Linked DNA regions of Schizosaccharomyces pombe. The gene in region 3 interacts genetically with the main gene of each other region. Each region holds a gene or a part of one and is shown on either strand. Other genes may lie near its edges.

The links.
Region 1: mutations in mug30 (region 3) and mug117 together harm fitness less than expected from each alone (positive genetic interaction), as found in Schizosaccharomyces pombe (one large-scale study listed by BioGRID).
Region 2: mutations in mug30 (region 3) and hat1 together harm fitness less than expected from each alone (positive genetic interaction), as found in Schizosaccharomyces pombe (one large-scale study listed by BioGRID).
Region 4: mutations in mug30 (region 3) and syp1 together harm fitness more than expected from each alone (negative genetic interaction), as found in Schizosaccharomyces pombe (one large-scale study listed by BioGRID).

What each region holds. Positions count from the first base shown.
Region 1 is NC_003421.2:1,255,831-1,259,741, forward strand, and holds mug117 (protein mug117), read right to left. Parts: upstream 1,664-3,911; coding exon 1,103-1,663; 3' UTR 964-1,102; downstream 1-963. Other genes in the region: cca2 (ATP/CTP tRNA nucleotidyltransferase), read left to right, coding at 1-760, 820-963; SPOM_SPCC645.12C (uncharacterized protein), read right to left, coding at 1,846-2,442; bye1 (transcription elongation regulator), read left to right, coding at 2,804-3,911.
Region 2 is NC_003424.3:1,027,857-1,032,668, forward strand, and holds hat1 (histone acetyltransferase Hat1), read left to right. Parts: upstream 1-2,363; 5' UTR 2,364-2,373; coding exon 2,374-2,431; exon of another isoform or gene 2,432-2,481; coding exon 2,482-2,585; exon of another isoform or gene 2,586-2,646; coding exon 2,647-2,865; intron 2,866-2,954; coding exon 2,955-3,070; intron 3,071-3,141; coding exon 3,142-3,505; intron 3,506-3,561; coding exon 3,562-3,837; 3' UTR 3,838-4,085; downstream 4,086-4,812. Other genes in the region: ssd2 (succinate-semialdehyde dehydrogenase), read left to right, coding at 460-1,941; coronin Crn1, read left to right, coding at 4,326-4,359, 4,402-4,454, 4,503-4,730, 4,772-4,812. UniProt on the Schizosaccharomyces pombe protein: Catalytic component of the histone acetylase B (HAT-B) complex. Acetylates 'Lys-12' of histone H4 which is required for telomeric silencing. Has intrinsic substrate specificity that modifies lysine in recognition sequence GXGKXG.
Region 3 is NC_003423.3:3,686,233-3,692,629, forward strand, and holds mug30 (ubiquitin-protein ligase E3), read left to right. Parts: upstream 1-2,306; coding exon 2,307-2,540; exon of another isoform or gene 2,541-2,584; coding exon 2,585-4,774; 3' UTR 4,775-4,968; coding exon of another isoform or gene 4,969-5,616; 3' UTR 5,617-5,617; downstream 5,618-6,397. Other genes in the region: cyclophilin family peptidyl-prolyl cis-trans isomerase Cyp4, read left to right, coding at 1-131, 225-367; SPOM_SPBP8B7.26 (uncharacterized protein), read left to right, coding at 892-976, 1,031-1,734; CLRC complex-Argonaute linker protein Stc1, read right to left, coding at 4,969-5,616; abz1 (para-aminobenzoate synthase), read left to right, coding at 6,331-6,397. UniProt on the Schizosaccharomyces pombe protein: Probable E3 ubiquitin-protein ligase. Has a role in meiosis.
Region 4 is NC_003423.3:3,122,912-3,128,668, forward strand, and holds syp1 (cytoskeletal protein Syp1), read right to left. Parts: upstream 3,811-5,757; 5' UTR 3,791-3,810; coding exon 3,749-3,790; intron 3,708-3,748; coding exon 1,293-3,707; 3' UTR 1,091-1,292; downstream 1-1,090. Other genes in the region: tif306 (translation initiation factor eIF3f), read right to left, coding at 1-895; DNA-directed RNA polymerase I complex large subunit Nuc1, read left to right, coding at 4,988-5,757. UniProt on the Schizosaccharomyces pombe protein: Multi-functional protein that contributes to the endocytic process, but also to events that occur at the neck during cytokinesis.

The DNA.
Region 1 (3,911 bases), on a different chromosome or scaffold from region 3:
ACCTCTCCAATCATTTTTGGAAGATCCCTTACGAATTTTGAGAGGCATTCGGTTTGCATCCAGATTTGAATTTACAATTGATCCGTCGGTCGTTTCCGCTATCCAAGATCCGAAAGTATGTAAAGCTTTTGAAAAAAAGGTTAGCAAGGAACGTGTAGGAGAGGAAATTGAGAAAATGTTGAAGGGTGCAAACGCGAAGCTAGCACTTCAACTGTTATATTCAACGAACACGTATCAGTTTACGTTCGATACTTTGCCAGCTGAAAAAGAATTTCAAATTCCAAAGGCATTGGAAGCTACCGAGTCTTTATTTCAGAGTCTTGCATTGACGTTTCCTAAACTTATGAAATTAAGTGAAGATGAGAAAATTGGGCTATGGCTATATGTTGCTCTAATTCCATGGTCTAGTCAAACTGTTATGGTTAAGAAAAAACAATTTTATATTCCTGCAATCATCGCAAAAGACAAGTTGAAGCTCAGAAGTACATATGTTAACCAGTTGAATCAGTGCTGCACATTCAATCCGATATTCGATGAATTAGTTAACGATACTTCCACTAAAAATTGCTCATCTATTGGCAGCTTAATACGACAATTGAATAAATCCTGGGAAGTCGTGTTTTTAACATCGGTCATATATAGTTGTTGTAAAACACCGGCAGCATCTGTATCAAATACATTTAGTTCTTATAAATCTCTATATGACTTTATTTATGACAAAAATTTACAAAATGCTTATAACATGAAGCCATTATTAGACGTATGTAATTCTTTTATTTCTGTTAACAATATTGAGCGAATAAGCTAACAATTTTTTAGGGAAAACAGATCATGAAAAATGTGGGAGTTAAGCCTGGCCCGCAGCTGAAAGAGACTATGGATAACATGATTTCCTGGCAATTTAAACACCCTGAAGGAAGTGTCGAAGATTGTGTTGCATACCTTCAATCCCTAAAAATATAAGAAAAGACAATCACTGTTTAGATAACTTAATCGCACAAAAGATTAAAAGAATAAAAGTCACCAGTAATCGTCGTCCTTTTTGGAAATTCGTATTTATGATATTTATGCTTAATTCAGAATGGATCCTTTCCTCTTATTATTACCAATCTCTAACCGGCTCTCGATAATCGTATTCGCTGGTGCTTGGTGTAATTTCGGTACAGTCTGGATAACAGTAGTTCAATTTGACATAGCATCTTGTGTTTTCATTATCATTATTAAAAAAACGAGTTCCACAAGCGGAACATTGCAAATTTAATTGATCAAATTCATCAATGATTTCGTTGCCTGTGCGTGCTGGATAATCACCTTCGCACTCATAAATGGCAGTGCAAGAACTAGCTGTATAAGAAGAATATCCATGGTAGATCAAGGATCTATTATACTTCATGTACGCGTTCGGACACGCACGATTTTCTCCTCGAAGCATAGGGCAAAGAAATGAGCCCTTACAGTTATTAGGATGAACCGAATTATCATATCCAAGCATGTTAAATAAACTTCTTCGATAGTTTGAAGTAATTCGAGAGCCTTTTGCTTCTGGCTCAAAGACAGTACTAAGATCACTTCTAATTGGGACTGCAATGCATATGTAAATGCAGATTCCGTATATGAATAGGAACAAAGTTAATTTCTCTGTTACACAACAAAATTTCCACATTCCTTCCGAAATATTAATATATATTAAATATGCAAAAGTGTTTAAAGCAATGCTTCTTATTTGCAATTATTCTTAATTAATTAATATTTTTCTTTTGGTTAAGGAAAGAATATGTAATATAAACAGTATTCTTTTAGTTGGTGTCAATATTTTTGTTTGTTTTTAAGATCGTAAACAGAGCTTTACAAACCCCAAAGCAAGGTGTCTTCATCTAGTGAAGCATCCGAGTCATTATTAGATAAATTGCTAGATTCTTTAACAGAAAAGTTATTTTTTTTAGTTTCAAACCTTTTTTGTTTCAAACGACGGATAAGATCCCTCGACTCACCCAATTTGCTTTCTTCTTCATAAAGAATATCATAAACTTCTGGTTCTAAATCATTATCTGCAATTTCATTTTCTTCATCCTTTTCGGCCAATAACTGTTGCTGTTGGAGTGTTATTTCTTGTTCAACAGCATTTTCCTCAATAATGCCAATCTCATTTTGAAAATCGTTCCACTCTTCTTCAATTAGTTCTTTATTTTTAGCAATAGATTCATCAAAAAAGTTTTCTGGAAGTGCGGACACCGCTCGTGTATCCTTAGGAGGTTCTGTAGATTGCTTTTCATTAAAATCACTTACTGCCAGCTCACGAGATTGATCACGACCTAAATTTTCAAATGATTTATGATCTCTCGTCTTCTGACGCTTCAGTTCTTGACTAGAGGCTTTCAGACCTCGCTTTTGCCCTAATCGCTCTTGTTTTACTTTCCTCAGTAACTCTCGTGCACTACTCATATTTTTGAAGCTCCTTTTCTAACAATATTCACATTTAATCGTAAAATATTGCATTCGAACTATAAAATAGCATGTATCCTTAGTTTTCGCAGATTTTGCACCTTTGCTATAACAAACTACAACACTGCTGCCACTTGCCAATAACCCATACCTGCCAACACCTTGTTTTTTAGAACTCTTGACGAGCTTTTGTGAGGATATTAAACACTTCAGGAACGACTTTTGTTTAGTTATGCATATATTTTAATCTCCTCAGTTTATTTAGTACGCATTCAATCACTTGTTATTCGAATTGCATGTATTAACCTTGAAGTACAGATGTCATTGATCAAAATACTTTTTATTCCCATAATAACGAAGCATGGTAAGAAAAAGCACTAGAAGGACGGCAAAAGCCTCAGAAAAACCTCCTGAAACTGTTGTTCGGTGTGTTTGTAAATCGCAAGAAGACATTGGCGATACGTGGGTTCAATGTGATGGGTGTGATTGCTGGCAACATGCCAGTTGCGTTGGATTAGCGGATAAGGATATACCTGAAAGCTACTATTGTGAAGTTTGTCATTCGCGAAGCGACGTTTCATCACAAGTACAAAATTCTCCCAATAAGGATGAAGAGCATCAGACAGCTGATTTACTTGCCTCTAATGAAGGGAACGAGAAAAACAATGAAGAAAATAATGTTGTATCTTCTGATTCAAAAGAGGCGATTACTAAAGAGTCAGGCGCTGAACTAGAATCATCCGAGCCTGCTTCGACAAATTCTAATGTTGGAATGACTACTAGGTCTGGTCGACAATCTCCTAGGACTCCTATTGGCTCCACGACACCAAAAAGTTCTCATTCTCCACCTTCAACTCGAAAACGAAGAGGCAGTGTTGGTACGACGGCTACTCATACCAAACGTAGCAAGAATGCACCAAAAACATCTCCTAAGGATGCTTCCAATGAAACTGCAGATCAGGAAAAGGAGCTTAGTTTACACACTTCTATCGATGAAATTCAAAACCCTGTTAGAAAAAGTGTTGCCAAAGCCTGGGTTTCCGTTTTTGAAAAAATCATTGAGAAAGCAAAACTTGAAGGTGTGCAAGGATTAGAAGACCTTAATTCTACATCCTTAGCGCTTCAGCTTGAGCATATTATGTTTATGGTGCTTTCGTATACAACTGATCATTCGTTAACTCCGAACAACAAATATCGAGAGAAGTTTCGTGCTTTACGATTCAACTTGGTTGATGACAAAAACCCGGCATTTCGAGCGCGCGTGTTAAAAAATGAAATTAGTTTTAACGATCTGGTCAACTTATCCAGTGAAGAAATGGCTAATCCTGACTTGAAGAACCTAGCTGAGGAAATTCGTCAACAAAGTACTGAAAACACAGTCATAAAGCAACATTTGATTGCTCCACGAGATCGTTTACTTGATGAAGATAAACTTACACAACAAGATGAACTTGGTATTGCGGAAAACG
Region 2 (4,812 bases), on a different chromosome or scaffold from region 3:
GCTATATACATCATTGAAGAAGACGGGAGCCGTAAGCTAACAAACCAGACACTATGATTTATAAGTTAGTCTGCCGATATTTACGCAAATTCAATACGCCTTTCTTTTTTTCCAGGGGAAATGTTTGCATACACCAAGAACATGATGTTGAGACGTAAATCTAGTACGGAAAACCAAGATGCATACGTTATGGTTTGATCATTAAATGTCTTGTTGAAAAATTATAAATATGCATCGTTTCTCTCGATGTTTACACTACATTAAAAAAAAGAAATCTGCAGCTTAATTTGAAAACACTAAAAAAACCTGCATTCTTCTTTTTTCCACGAAAGATCTGTTGCTGCTTACGCTATTATTTGTTATTATTATAAATAATAATAACATTTCTATCGATAACTTCGTTTCATATAGTTTTTAACATTTACTCCTTCCCACTTTTTTGTATAATACTCTTCAAAAATGGCCCCTCAATTCAAACGCCCTGAGCTCTTTGGCTTTGATAAGTCTCATGCTCAATCTTTTGTTCAAGGAAAATGGATTTCTTCTCCTAACAACAAAACTTTTGAGGTTGATAACCCAGCTACTGGTGAAATAATCGGTAAAGTGGCCGATGTCTCAGTAGAGGAAACAAAAAAAGCCATCAGTGCCGCTAACGAGGCCTTCAAAACTTATAAAAATTTTACTCATGTCCAACGTAGTCAGTTATTGGAACGCTGGGCAGAGCTTATTATGGAGAACAAAGACGACTTGGTCAAGATGCTTACCTTAGAAAACGGCAAGCCTTTGAGCCAAGCTGAGATGGAGGTCACCACATGTAGCGGATATCTTAAATGGTATGCTGCTGAAGCCGTTCGTACCTTTGGCGATGTAGCTCCTTCCAGCTTACAAAGTCAAAACTTTCTCATCTCCATCAAACAGCCAGTTGGTGTCAGTGCCTTGATTACTCCTTGGAACTTCCCCGCCGCCATGATTGCTCGTAAAGGTGGTGCCGCTTTGGCTGCTGGTTGTACCGCTATTTTCTTGCCTGCTTTCCGCACTCCCTACGTTTGCTTAGGTTTAGTCAGGTTGGCGCAAGAGGCCGGTTTCCCTGACGGTGTCTTAAATGTGATCACTTCTTCTGATGCATCTGCTCATGGTAAAGAACTGACTACCAACCCTATCGTTCGTAAGGTTTCCTTCACTGGTAGTACTAATGTCGGTAAAATTCTTATGGGACAAAGTGCCAGCACAATCAAGAAGGTTTCAATGGAGTTAGGAGGTAATGCCCCTTTCATTGTATTCCCTGACTTCCCCATTGATCAGGCTGTCGAATCTTTCTGCACTATCAAGTTTAACTCTTGTGGTCAAGTTTGTGTCTGCCCTAACAGAGTTTACGTTCACAAGAATGTTTACGACGAATTCGTCAGCAAGCTTACCGAAAAAGTCAAGACCATTAAAGTAGGAGATGGATTTGACTCTTCTTCTGCTGTTGGCCCTTTGATTTCTCAAGATGGATGCAAAAAGGTCAGCAAGCACATTGAAGATGCTGTTTCAAAGGGTGCCAAAATCACTGTTGGTGGAAAGGAGATTTCCTCAAGCAAAGGTTATTTTTTTGAACCAACCGTGCTCTCCGGTGTAACTCAAGACATGTTGGTTGCTAGCGAGGAAACATTCGGCCCACTCGCCTCTGTCTTCAAGTTCGACGACACCGAAGAGGTGATCGAATGGGCTAACGACAGTGATGTTGGCTTGGCCGGTTACGTCTTTACCAATAACTTGTCCACAATGATCCACGTTGCCAAAGAACTAGAGGTGGGTCTTGTAGGTGCCAATATCGAAATGGTTGACGAACCATTTATTTCCTTTGGCGGCATCAAACAGAGCGGTTTTGGCAAGGAAGCCGGTCGTTTGGGCGTTCAAGAATTTATGGTGGTTAAGGAAATCAATCTCAAGACTCTTTAAGGATTTTCGCTTTAGAAAGCTGCATATTATTGAACAAGCAATGATGTCCTCTTTTGGTTAATGACTAAAAAATCCTGATGTTATGACTGTTTTACATGTTTGCGATACAAATCGTATTTTAGTTTAATGATATCAAAAAAATTTAATACCTGAACATCGTGGGTCATCGATGAAGAATGGATTGTTGTGTCAGAAAATCTATACTTGTAGTTATTGTTCTGAGCAATCTGAAAAGTTATAAAGAATTGTAGGTTCTAAAATTGGCAATACTGGAGCTAGAAATCTATATAATAGTAAATATTTTTTAATAATAACAGGTGTAGCACGTGAAATTTTGCGTCGCCTTGTAGTTTGTTACTTCCAACTAGACACATGTATTTTTTGTTGTTTGACTTGAAATAGGGTCAGGTATTCAATTTTCCGTATGCAGTGATGAGTGCTGTTGATGAATGGGTACATAATGCCAATGAATGCATAGAAATTGTACAAGGTATGCTATGTTAAATTATAATGTTTTTACCTTGTGTTAACACCTGTCAGTAAACGAAAAGCATGAAAAAGATTGTCAATACCATCCTAGCAATACATATGCAATATTTGGAGATGCTGAGGTTATTTATGGATATAAAGATCTAAATGTCACTGTAAGATTAAATCAGCAAGTTTTAGTCATGAAATTTGATTGCAAATAGTAACAGTTATTAGATAACCTATGAATGCCCATTGATGGTCCCAAAACTGGAAATCTCATATTCAGAGCGCCTAGCACCAGATTCAGGAGTGGAACCAACTGATATTGAAGGAACATTAAACACTTATCTAAAAGATCGTTCCATTAAGGTTGAAGGAAACTCATTTGACGTTCATTCGGCAAATAGTATTCATAACTATTCCTTTAATGGAAAAACATTCAAGATTTTACAAGTATGTTCGATTACCTTTCAATTGGAGAAGTATTCAATTATTGAATATCCCTATATGTTCTTTGGCTAATAATCGTAATGTATTAATAGGCAACGGTTCTTGAAGCTAGTGAGATTATGCAGCATTTGCAAATATTTTCCTTATTTTTTATTGAAGGGGGCTCTTTTATTGACCTTAATGATCCAAGATGGATGGTATATTTACTGTAAGTTTGTTATTTTCTACGCGTCTACTTTCCTTTTACCTTTTTATCGAGGTTTTATTAACAAAAATAAGTTACGAGACTACTGAAGATGATTATTGCTTACGTGGTTATTGTACTGTATACAAATATTATAAATGGGACAAATTAATTCACGATGGTATTCGAGCTCGTATCTCACAATTCGTGATTTTACCCCCTTTTCAACATCAAGGACACGGTTCGCAATTGTACAATGCTATTGTTAGTACCTTTTTGAAAAATCCTAAAATTTTAGACTTCACAGTTGAGGATGCATCGGAAGCGTTTGATAGCCTTAGAGACCATTGCGACTATAAAAGATTATTATCAATGGGAATATTTTCAGAACCTGACTTTCATCCCTCTCTTTCTAGGCAGTGGATAAACTCGAAAATAGCTGAAACAAAGTTAACCCAGGTTCGTAATTTGCTAAATTTACCATGCAATGCAACTTACTAATTGTCTTTTTTTAGCGTCAATTCTCACGCTGTTGTGAATTAGCATTTACAACGAAACTAAAAAAGCTTTCATTATTGGAGCGGAAATCTGTTAGACTAGGAATAAAGGAAAGGATTTTTCGTCAAAATCTTGATGTGTTGCTACAGTTGGATAAGTCCGAACGTATTGAAAAAATTCATAACGCCTATGAAAATCAGTTTGATGAGTATAAACAGATTGTCAAAAAGCTACCCAAGCTTAAGGAAGATTCGCCTCGAAAACGCCAAAAACTTGCTCAATCTTCTTCCTAAATGAAAACACTTTTAGAGATCTGAAATACTTTGAGAATATTGAAGGCATATTAGCATAAAAAGTTATGAGAATCGACTAAATTACACTATTGGACGCAATTACTTTTTATATAATTTGCTTTTGAAAGCTTTCGCTTGAAATGATTAAAGACATTTGAAACAGTGATCATTTTAATAATATAAATTTTGTATATATTTTGCAAATTTAGTGTGATATCTAGTTTAATAAAATCTATAAAGGCACCTTATAAAAATTCAAACAATTCCTCATAATGAACTGCTTTTTCCAAAATTTAAATATTTTAATATCTACTATCAATAATATTGGTTATTTTCAACGACCAGTACAACTTTAGGTGCTTGTCATTCTCATCCGTCCTCCTTCCTATTCCGATCCCGACTTTGTTCATTACCTGACACCCCGGATAAAGTTAGCTCAATTAGCAAATTCTCATTCGATCTTATAAAGGAATTATTCTTTTTCAAAAATGAGTGGAAGATTTGTGAGAGCTAGTAAATATAGTACGCATGCTTTTTGAGTAAATAATTATTAACTGACGTTAGGACATATCTTTGGACAAACCTGCAAAAAAGAACTTTGCTACGACAACATAAAGGTTGGTCGATACTTTAATGGTTTGAAATTTACTAATTGTCTTCAATAGCTTAGCAATAATGCATGGGATTCTAACCTATTGAGTGTGAACCCCTTTTACCTCAGTGTTAATTGGAATGCGGGAGCTGGAGGTGCATTGGCAGTTATCCCTTTAAACGAAAGAGGAAAGCTTCCCGATCAAGTTAATTTGTTTCGGGGCCATACTGCGGCTGTTTTAGATACTGATTGGAATCCCTTCCATGATCAAGTATTAGCATCCGGCGGTGATGATTCTAAGGTATCCTGCTATTTGACTTTATTTATGTATTAACGAATTAGATTATGATATGGAAAGTACCAGAAGATTATACTGTTATGGA
Region 3 (6,397 bases):
TAAGCTTTCTCACCAACGTCCCGGTTTGCTTAGCATGGCTAACGCTGGACCCGATTCCAATGGATCTCAGTTTTTCATTACTACAGTTAAAACACCTTGGTTAGATGGACACCATGTTGTTTTTGGTGAAGGTAAGAATTCATATTGTAGTTGTATATGTTTTATAAAAGTGACTATTTGTTTTCTTTTTCCTTTTTTTTGTTTGCTAATACTAATTTTATCAGTCCTTTCTGGTTACGATATTGTCAAGAAAATTTCCAAAGCTGAGACTGACAACCGTGATAAGCCTCTTGAAGATGTAAAAATTATCAAATCTGGGCAGTTGTCTCAAGAAAATGTTGAAGATGACGGAACAGATGAATTGTAATCCCTACTTTCTATTTATGAAAGTCATCAACATCTAGTGTTTATAAGATTTACTTGAAAAGCAATGATTTTACATTCTGTTAACATAAACGTTTATCATTGGAAGGATCACTTCTTGTGGTAGTTTGTTTGCATTTTCTGACAGCCATAGTTGTATAACTAATATACGCATAAAGAATGCGATTTTAACAAGTTTTCAATTGAATGAATATAGAACTCTACGTATATTATCCAATTTAGCAAGCGTAATAGCAATGCTGCAATTCTGATAGTAAGTATTGACAACAAACGCGAAGCTTATTAGCTGCTTACTATTTTGTTATGTTTTATCAAAAAGAACTCAAAGACATTATTTTTTCCTATCAGCTGGCTGATATTACTAGCACGTTGTGTAGTTGTTTACCCTATGGGCTCTTAGAAAAGCGGACTTAAGGAATTTCGAGAGTCGGAAGCTGTCCACCGCAAACATTTGGGTAAAATCGGTTTTTGCGTCAATTGTGAGAAATCAATTTCAAACTAATCGTAATGTTTGACTCAACAAAAAAATCACTGCATTCGATGTCGGATTCTGCGAACCGCTTCCAGAATAAGATTACATCGAAATTACCAGGTAAGCATATTTCCTTTGCTTTTTGAGACATTACTAACAAAATGGGATTTATAGGTGAACATGGCGAAGATGCTATGTATGATATTAGATCCGTTCATGGAACCGGGCCTCGTTTATCAATAAAATATGTCGATGTTACAAAATTGCCTCCTCCTCCAAAACATGCTTCACAGTTGCGTGCCGGTGGTAGTAGTACTGGAAGTACACCTAGAACGGCTAGCCCGGCTGTAGGAAATCAAGATTATTCGAAACCCTCTTATTCGCAGCCTTCTTATTCCCAACCTTCACAGCCCCCCAAGGAACCCGCTCTTCCTTCAAGAGGGACTCCTTCACTTCCTAGTCGACCAGGGAGTCGTCCGTCCGTCTTAAATCAAGAACAAGTCCCACCACCTCCTGTTCGTCCTAATGTAATGTCTCAGATGCCCCCACCTCCCTCCTACAGCTCTTCTGGTTCTTATTCCCAAACTTATCAGTCAAACGCTAATTATACTGCCTCTTCTCCTCTCCCTACAGCTTCTGCAAATGCACCCTTGCCGGTTCCTCCTCCCCGAAGGGTTTCTCAAAACAGTTCATATGCATCTGGATCTGTTCCCGCGGCGACTGCTGCTTCTACAGCGTCGCCTGTTAAGAAACCACCTCCACCTGCACCTCCAAAGCCAAGAAGACTTGCTGCCCGAACTTCTAGTAATTCGTCCGGTGTAAGCTCGCCAACTTCTGTTCCACCTCCGGTTCAAAGGAATACTCGACCCAACCTATAAACCAAATTTTTGCTTTCTATTTTCTTTCTCTTACTACACCATTATTACCTAGGATGGCCTATTTAGCATACTAGATGTTATTCAATGTTTAAATCATAATCTTCTTAAATCAACTTTCCTACGAATAGTCGTACATACTAGGTAATTTGACAATTTAAAATGAAAGGTATCATCAATGTAGGAACGTTCAAAAATCTTAAATAAGGTACTGCGAAGTCGACATGGTAATTTTCTTTGTAAATGTCATAATATTTACTTCTGCATTTAATGACATACATATTATACAAGAAGAGTAAAGAACTTATCTGTTTTAACAGTATTCACCTTCAAAGATCTTAGAAAATTGGTTCAACTGTGATGATCTTTTGACGAAAGAATGTTAGAATGACTACGCCATGAGAACCTGTTGAATATCGTAATATTTAAGAAATAACTATACCAATATATGTATAGTGTAGTATGGCCTAGATATGTACCATACTTTTACAGATTTGTCTTTTTGTTTTGGGTTAGTCCCAATTGTTTATCTGTAGAGCGAAATATAGATCTTTCTTAGAAGGTGAATTGCTTATATGAGTCGCCCTATTGAAATAGCCAATGTGTCTTCTGGAAACCGTAGAACGCTCCCAGCACTTCATGGCTCTAGTTTTTCTAGCCGCTCAGAACTTGACAATAATACAAATTCAAAAATATCACGTCGCTTAAGAGAGTTAGTTTGTCAACGTATGGGTGAAAATCCACTTCGACTTCGACAGTCGTTTCATGAGACAATTTCTAATGATAGTTACGGGAATTCAGAGAAATTGGTATTTAGGCTAATTGTTTGGCTAATTTATTAACAAAATTATAGGTGATCAGGCCCTGCATTTGTTGTAATAGCGTCCTGCGCTACCCTGCACAAGCTATGTGCTTTCGTTGTTCATTATGTATGACTGTGAACGATGTTTATTTTTGTTTAAGTGGCTCCCAAATAAAGACAAAAGCTTCAACCGATGGATCACAATTTATCTCAGTTGAACATTTTGTTGAAACAATTCATCAAACACGAAGTGCCTTGCAACTTGCTAAGCAGCGAACTGGCAACGTTCAAGCTATTGTGGCTGCAGGCTTACCATTACGAGAACTTATATCCTTAGTATTTGGAAGTCCACCGATATTGAATAAACTGTTCTCGGTTAAAAATGGTTGTTCAATCCAATCTTCCGGACTAAATTATAAGCTCATTTACCAATTGTACCATGATATTACAAATTTAGACATTTTAATAACAAATGAGTTGTTAAGAGCTATCGAGAGTTTACTTCGGAGACCCATGCTATATTGTCATGATCCAGCGGATTATCAATATCTTCTCATTCTTTTGGAAAATCCTTTGTTGAACTCAAAATCAAAGAATATAGTGAACAAGAGTAGCAGCATTTTGAAGAGGATTTTGGGAGTTTTATCTAACTTGAACGAGAAGACACATCATTTTTTTATTTCTTGTTTTAAAAAACAACCTTACAACAATCCTAAGTTTTTTCGAAGAAAAGTCGATCTCATAAACAAGTTTATTGGTCAACGATTAATGGAAACTTACAGTAGAAACAAAAGGAAGCACTACTATAATAATGACTGGCAAATTAAGTCAGCAGCTATTACTATGGCCTTATTATACTCTGCTAATTCGCAAATGAGACTGATAGACAGATCTTCATTTTACTGCATAATGGCTGATTTCATAAATCTTTATCACGACTTTGAGTTATGGGAGCAAAAAATCAATTGCTTTTGTTTTTGCCAGTATCCTTTTCTTCTTTCAATGGGTGCTAAAATTAGTATTCTTCAGCTTGATGCTCGGAGAAAAATGGAGATTAAAGCAAGAGAAGCATTTTTCTCTTCAATTCTTTCCAAAATGAACGTTGAACCTTATTTGATGATTCGTGTTCGGCGAGATCGACTGTTAGAAGACAGCCTAAGGCAAATTAATGACAGAAATAAAGATTTTAGAAAGGCATTAAAAGTTGAGTTTTTAGGTGAAGAAGGAATCGATGCAGGAGGATTAAAGAGAGAATGGTTGCTGCTTTTAACGAGGAAAGTTTTTAGCCCTGAGTTTGGATTATTTGTGAACTGTGAAGAGTCTTCAAATTATCTATGGTTTAATTATTCACACAGGTCGAAAGAAATTGATTACTATCATATGTCAGGTATATTGATGGGAATTGCAATCCACAATTCAATAAATTTGGATGTACAGATGCCCAGAGCTTTCTATAAAAAACTTTTACAGTTACCTCTAAGTTTCAATGACTTGGATGATTTTCAGCCTAGTCTATATCGAGGATTAAAAGAGCTTTTACTATTTGAAGGAGATGTAAAAAATACTTACGGTCTTAATTTTACAATTAATCTCAAAGCTGTCGAGGGCTTTCGCACTGTTGAGTTGAAAGAAGGAGGCTCTGAATTGAGTGTTGATAATGAGAACAGAAAAGAATATGTTTTGAGGTATGTAGATTATCTCTTAAATACTACTGTAAAAAAACAATTTTCTGCTTTTTTCGATGGCTTTATGAAAGTATGTGGAGGTAACGCCATATCGTTGTTTCAAGACAATGAAATCAGCAAGTTGATCAGAGGAAGTGAAGAAGTTATTGACTGGGAGCTACTCAAAAATGTCTGCGTTTATGATTTTTATGACCAAAATGCGATTTCAAATTCTATATCTGAAAGTGAACCAAGTATGACTGCATCTAAATATCTCTGCCACTCTTTCGTATCAAAAAGAAAAATAATACTTTGGTTTTGGGATTTGATATCACACTATTCGCTAAAAATGCAAAAACTTTTTCTCATTTTCGTCACAGGAAGCGATCGCATTCCCGCTACTGGGGCACATAATTTTCAATTAAGAATCTCAGTTCTCGGACCTGACAGTGATCAACTTCCTATCTCTCATACTTGCTTCAATCACTTATGTATTTGGGAATACTCCAGTAGGGAAAAGTTAAAAAAAAAATTAGACACGGCGTTGCTTGAAACTAATGGGTTCAATATACGCTAGTGTTTACATCAGGGTTCGCAATTCCTTACCTTTTACTACTATATACATATATCTATTTATTTAAGATCTAAATTAAATTCAACATATTTTAAGGTCTACATTAGCACTAATGGACCTTTATAATTTATCATATAAAATGGGATCGTAAGCAAATCTTTACATAATTCAAATAAGGATGAATATAAAACGTGTCTCTATACAATTTGTTTTTCTTTTTTGAATTGCTGAAATATCTCTTCCATCCTGTCTTCATCAGAGTCATCATCATCATATTCTTCAGCTGAATTGCTTTCCTGTTGCCCCTTGCTTTCAGTTCGCTCTTCGTCAGTATTATCAGAAACATCGTCAGCGTATTCTGAGTTTATGGTTTGTTTATCATGAATGTAGATATCATCGTCTAAGTCAGAATCATCACCTATGAAAGGATCAACGAACTTATCAGATTCCAAATTATCATCACCGTCGTTCCTTTGTGAATGTACACATATCTGACATCGTGGATCCAGGACATGTCTTTGTGCCTTAGAGAATTCATTAATGCCCTTAGTTTGTTGACAAGCGGTACACCAAATTGAATCATGCTGTTTGGGCTGGCAGGTACGACATATCACTTTTGGGTCTGAAACGCTAACCGTTCTCCCACGAACAAATGTAAACGTTTTGCTCCATTGAGTTTTGCTGTAAGAGTCTATCCCTTTAACCTTTCTGCATCTCATACACATAATTAAACAATCATTATCATTTTTCCCTTTTGAATTCAATGTACCCCGGTATTTTTTAGCATGTAGTTTGCAATCCTTCGGATGCTTTTTAATTTTATATTTTCGACTCTTAAAATCCATATTTTTTTATTATTATTAATATGGTAACAATACTCTTATAAATGAATATATGTACTGAAATAATTTTAATTAGCTGCTGACGTTAGAAGCATTAAGTAGACAATACCTTTAATGAACAAAATGTGATAGCCTTGACAACCAAATAGAAGAAACATACAGGCTTAATCAGGATTTAGAAAAAAAAAACAGTAATACAAGCCGTCCTATCAATTGTCATTGAGATCTTTACGCTGATCAGGCTGTAAATGCATTAATATAAAATTTACTACCGTTCGGTTCGATTAATAGGTGAATCAATGATATTAAAGCAAAAAAGAATACATATATTTGTTGATTGCTTCATGTTCTATTGACAATGAAAATTGCACATATTCAAAGGGTTGTTTTCAAAATAAATACTGCTTCCCATTCTATTATTCTCGCCTTCAAGTTTTTGATTGCGAATTATTCTTTGAAAATAAACGGAATAATAAAACTTTAGATAGCCTACACTTTTCCTACCTTAAATGGAATTGTATGATTTGTAAAATCCCGAAGAATGTCAGAAGCTTCTAAACAAATTGGAAACTGGAATTTAATTTGCGCACTTCCTACTCCTGCTACTTTGTAAAAGTTAAAACCTCTTAATACCAGAGTTCTCTTTTCAATCATATCGTTAAAAAATTAATGTTTCTTGAGTAAATCTAAGGTCGTTTTAGCTGATTAGTATCTATCATGAGTGAAATTTCAAACCGTTTACAAATTTTATTAATTGATTGCTATGACTCATACACTTTTAACC
Region 4 (5,757 bases), 560 kb from region 3:
TAAGACGGGAAGCAATATCCACTTGAGTACGTAAGGTATTTGCGAGATAAACTACAACCAAAACATCTTGAAGATGTGATGAAAAAATTTTTTCAAAATCTTGGCCTTCTACGCAAGGAATTAAACTAAAGCACTTCATCAAATATCTACCGACAGCAACATTAGCAGGCGAAGAACCATCAATTACGTTTTGCACATAATCGGAAACTCTTTCAATCATAGATAAAAGCTCCAAGGTTGATCTTCGAAGTTGCTGGAGATCTGTGAATAGGCTAGCAAGTCTAGATGGGTCATTCTTAGGAGCAGCTACAGCTTTCAAACCAGAACGGACTGCCTCGTCATCACGAATGGTAAAAGGGGTAGGGACGAATGCACAGCTGTCAGCAAGGCGCTCTGTAATACCTACTGGTGAAGAAACGTAAGTCTTGATGGCAAGGGGACTGCTAACATCTGTGTTGACAGTAAGGTGAACACAGGGATGAGGATACGTTCCTAGTGGAGCAGTTCCGGGTTCAGCAGGAGAAGCATATAAATTTTGAATCAGTGCACTGAAAGCATCTAAATCAGGAGAAGTAGCATACCAACCAACGACAACTTCACGAGGGTTAGCCTTGAGGTGTAAATGGTACATCGCACGATGATATTCCATTTCAACTTCTACCTGCTCACTGCTCTCATTATGAGGAACTGCAAAACAACTTTTAATCTCAATTTCTCGGCCATCTTCAGAACGTGTTCCCAAAAGTGTACCGATAACACGTTGATTATTTTCACTTTTCCGGGTTGAATGGTCAAGGATAGAAAAAAGCACTGCTGGTTCAATGACAATGTTCAAAGGACTTGACCTGGAAGACGGTTTTGTGAGATGGAGTACGTGCTTAGTCCCCAAAGCCATTTTTTAAAATTTTCACGTTGTTGGCTACTCTCAGGTAGGTAGATCTGGTATTGTTCCCCAATCAATAATAATTTTACTGTACTAGTTTACAGTCTCATAGAATTCGTTAAATTGAAGACACTATTTTTCGCCTAACTTCTAAGGTTTACCATTTAAGAAAGTGTATTTTCAGTTGCGTTGAATAATCTAAAAAATCTCCTTAACAATGTCTCATTTGTACGTACAATAATGAGAAACTCTTTATTCAAAATTCTATAACTATTTACATTTGTACATTCTCTGGTTAAAAATCATTTATATATATATACAATGTTCAAAAAATTCGGTTAGCAAAAAAGTGTAAACATAAAACCCAAAAAAGCAGTTTGCTTTTTCTTGACTAATAATGAACAGTAATTTAACTCATATCAGCAAAAACAGAGCACTCACGAACATGAATACCATAGGAAGTAGGAACCTTCGTTTCTTCATAAGCACTTTCTAGCTGAGAACCTCCACTAGAAGAAGTAGTATCAAACATATCTGGTTTCAAAAACAATTTGGTGAGACCAGGGTTATTAGAGGAATCAACCATGCGAATACGGAACTCGATAACTGGCTTTCTAATAGCAGCACTAGGACTAATCGCAAACTTGGCTAAAATTTTAAATCCAGACGAAGATATATTAATGTTCGAAAGATGTAGCTTAAGTTTACTAGTTTTCCTGCTAAATTCTCCGGCCGGAGAACTTTGACAGCTTTTTACAAGGACATTTTCCCCCAAGTAAACGATGATAACAAGTTTTTCAATATGAAGAGATGAGCCTAAGTTCCTCCACACAGGATTAGGCTTCACAAATGCAATCATACTACTACTGCTTTCATCATGCTTCCATTTCTGAACAACTGTCAATGGAATGCAACTAGCACCGTTAATACTATCAAGATGTAGATTAAAATCAGTGACTTTGATTGGTGAGAGAAGTAGCTCTGGTATTAAAGAAAGTGTGTTTTCTGAGGGTCCATATTTTACTGCATGGTCATTTAAATGAGTAAAAGACATAGGAAATTCAGACGCAACGCGAACACCCATTTCAGGAGGAGGGGTATTAAAATCCGAGGTATATTTCATGAATATATGACCGGAACAGGAAGGATGAAGAAGGCCATCTTCAGATAATTCACCAGAATACTTTTCGACGATTGAAGCAGAAAGCCCGGAAGAATTTGGGAACTCAGGGTGCCATGTTGCAGTCGAGTCTGGTCCCGATTGTAATGATAAAGTAGACAAATTGGGCAAGCTACCGAGGTTTGATTCCATATAGTCAGACGATGCTGTAGCATAACGATCCATTGTCCCAGCACGACGGGTCCTTCTTGATATAGTGGGATTCTTTCGTAAAGTATTTGCTACCCTTTCAATTGCAGCATTGCTATCCTCGTTTTCAGTAGGCGCAGGGGAAGCCACCGCTGATGTGGGAGACGTTGTTGTTGATCGTGATTGCATGTTGTTAAAGTTCCCACCAAAATCATTGCCATGCATCATGATAGGATTCGAATGTGATGCATTCTCTCTATCGATCGATGAAGGGGTATTTCTTGAGGCTTCAGAGTGCACAGAATTGGGTTTATTAAAGGGGGAAGCCTTGGAGGAAATCTTAGGCGTAACCGTTTCTGCTTGAACATTAGGCTGCACAGGTAGCGGAGCCTCCAAAAAGGATGAGCGAACATTGTTTGCACGAATAGTGGCATCGTTGTCCTCGCCCTCGTCGGAAGTTTCATTAAAGTTTTGATAAGACGAAGCGTTATTATTAGTAGAGGGATGATCCCGAATTTGTGAAGAATGATTGGAATCATAATGTCTTCGTTCGATTGAACTATCATCTATATTCGATGGGTGTTCTTCAGCAGACGAAATACTCGAAGCTTTGGAGTTCTTATTAAAAAAAGCAGTTAATTTATTAGGGCGACCATTAGATTTATGCGAAGGCTTCTTATCCTTTTTAGGCATTATGGTTTTCCGACGAAACAACGTGGACATTTTGTTCTTCAATTTACCACCAGATTCATTTTCTCCATGACTCTTTTCCTCTTTAGATTTTCCATTGTTTATGTGAAAGCCCGATGACTTAGATGGTTTATTAGCAGATGCGGAAGACATAACTTTCGATGTGGAGTTCATGAATTGACGGATTTCACCTTCAATAGGTAGATCAGAATAAACTGCCATAGATTTAGAAAAAAATTCTTGCTGTTTAAGAGCCGTATCAGTTTCCAAACTTGCAATTGTCAGGTAAACTTGTTTCAATATAAGGAGGCGTTCCTCGTCAACAATTTGCAATTTTTCAAACGCTAAAGGAGCATCGGAATCCCAGGTTGCACGAGAAGCAGTGAGATCATTCTGACTCTTAGTATCCGCATCACGGCCTTTTTTTTTTAATCCCTTCAGACCAGGTACAGAAGACGATGCCATCTCCTCTGCAACTGTTGATAACCGCTCTGCTAAACGTCTAAGCGTAGCCGTTTGTGGTGAAGAAGTATAATAATCTATCAAAGGTTTATAAACTTGCGAAGCTATTTGTCCAATGATTTGACTGTGATATCTTGAAATTTCAAGGGTTTCTCCCTCGAGCTGTTTCCAAGCATAATTAAAAGCAAACGATGAATTGTTTTTTTCTTGCATGTTCATTGCAAGCTTATGTAATTGATCTGAGTATTGCCGTTCAATATCCATTCGCTCACGAATCCACTGCGAAAGCATGTCGTTGTCTAGGCGAACTTGCTCTAGGCGCTGTCGAAAGATCGACATGCTGTCGTTTGGAGAGTAGTTTGACTATTTGTTAATAAGAAGGAAATAGCTAAAATAAAGCTTACCAAAAACGCATCTACATACTCCGTTTTCGTCAATGATTCCATGGCGTGGTGGTGGTTAGTGTAGGGGGAATGCGACTCGATACATGACACTTTATTCCAAAATTGCAAAACAAATTGTTTATGGAGGATGATTAGTATTGCTATTAGATGGCTGTTATGAAGACATAAGAAAATATTTTTAATAAGGCAAAATTTTCATTTCTACATACATCAATATCGATGTTTCCGAAATATGCATAAATAAATTAATCGATTATTAACTAGTTAGCTGCTCAATACTATGGATTAGTCTCAAAAATATTTCAATTGAAAAGTGACCCAATATACCAACACATATTCGAACCGCTTAACGATTTCTCAAAAAACACAAGTTTTTGAATAAAAACATATAGGTAGTGAAATCTATTGAAACGTTCAATTTTTTTAAGCCTTCAACATACGCTAATTTCAAATCTGAGTTCTCACTACTATTATCGCACCTTTTTCTATTCTTTCGAAAACATACGTTTGAGCAGAGAAAAAGTCAGTAACAACTTCCATAGTATAAAAAAGAAGGAGATATGTTCAAAAATCAACAAAAAATATGAATAATTGTTCGTAAACCCATATTGTTACCATAGATGAATTTTACTAACTAGTGCTTATAAACGAAAGTTTTCTTTCGCTACTTAAGGTAAGTAAGCAGAAAACATTGAGAATGGCTTTAATTCAATTAAATTTAAAAATGAAGAGAGACCAAGATCAGAAATCCTAACACATGTTAGACTATTAAGGCACTTTATCTGAAGTGAAGTCTAATAAAATGTAAGCAACGAAAGTCAGTTGATTGATACCAACATTCCACTCGCATACAGTACGAATTCTCTAAATAACTCCAGTTTATTTTTATTACGACAATGAAACCATAATGCCATGGTTTAAGTGGTCAATATGTTAACCGTGTAACAATGAAAGTACATCGTAACGTGTTAGCATCAATAATCCGGTTTTTTCGGTTTGTTTATAAATTTACCGATGCGCTAAAATATCTAATTTGTAGTTTACCAAAAAATTTTACGTGTGTTATTGTATATAACGCGCTGTAAAATAAGTAATGAAGCTTCACAGCTATGCACATTGTAACGCATTTCACCGGACTTTAGCAAATTACAGTCTAAGGAAATTTTCTTTTCATACAGAACCAAATAGGTCTGTGGGCGGATTGCATGTGCCGGTTGTATACAAAAGCAAAATAGTACAATGAATATTGCACAGCCAGTCTCTTCGGAGATTAAAAGTGTGAAGTTTGGGATTTACGATGTTGACGATGTCGAAAAAATATCCGTCAAACAAATCGTAAATCCCGTTTTGCTTGACAATTTAAATCACCCTACTAACGGCGGATTATATGACCTTGCTTTGGGTCCATATCTAAAAAATTCTGTTTGCGCTACATGTCATTTGGATGAAAGATACTGCCCTGGTCATTTTGGTCATATAGTACTTCCTATTCCTGCATATCACCCTCTATTTTTTTCTCAAATGTACAATTTATTACGTTCAACTTGCTTGTACTGCCATCATTTCAAGCTTTCAAAAGTCAAGGTTCATCTTTTCTTTTGTAGACTCAAGTTGCTTGATTATGGTCTTTTAAATGAGTCAGAGATGGTGGAGAATGTCAGTCTTACTGAGGCAATCATAAAGAATTCTAACGGCACTCCACTTGAAGATGGAAGTGACAGCGAGGACAGTGGTCTTGGACACGATGATATTGCTAAAGATGCTGCAACACTTATGCGCATTCGCGATGAATTCGTTGCTAAGTCTATTGCTGACTCACGCCAGAACGCTCATATCGATGCTCAGTTGACTACACTTCTTTTACACGAGAGGAAAAAAGTTGTGCGTGCCTTCTACCATGCCATTTCATCTCGCAAACAATGTGATAATTGCCAGTCTTTTTCCCCTAACTTTAGGAAAGAAGGCTTTGCTAAAATATTCGAGATTCCATTGAGTGGAAAAAATCTCCA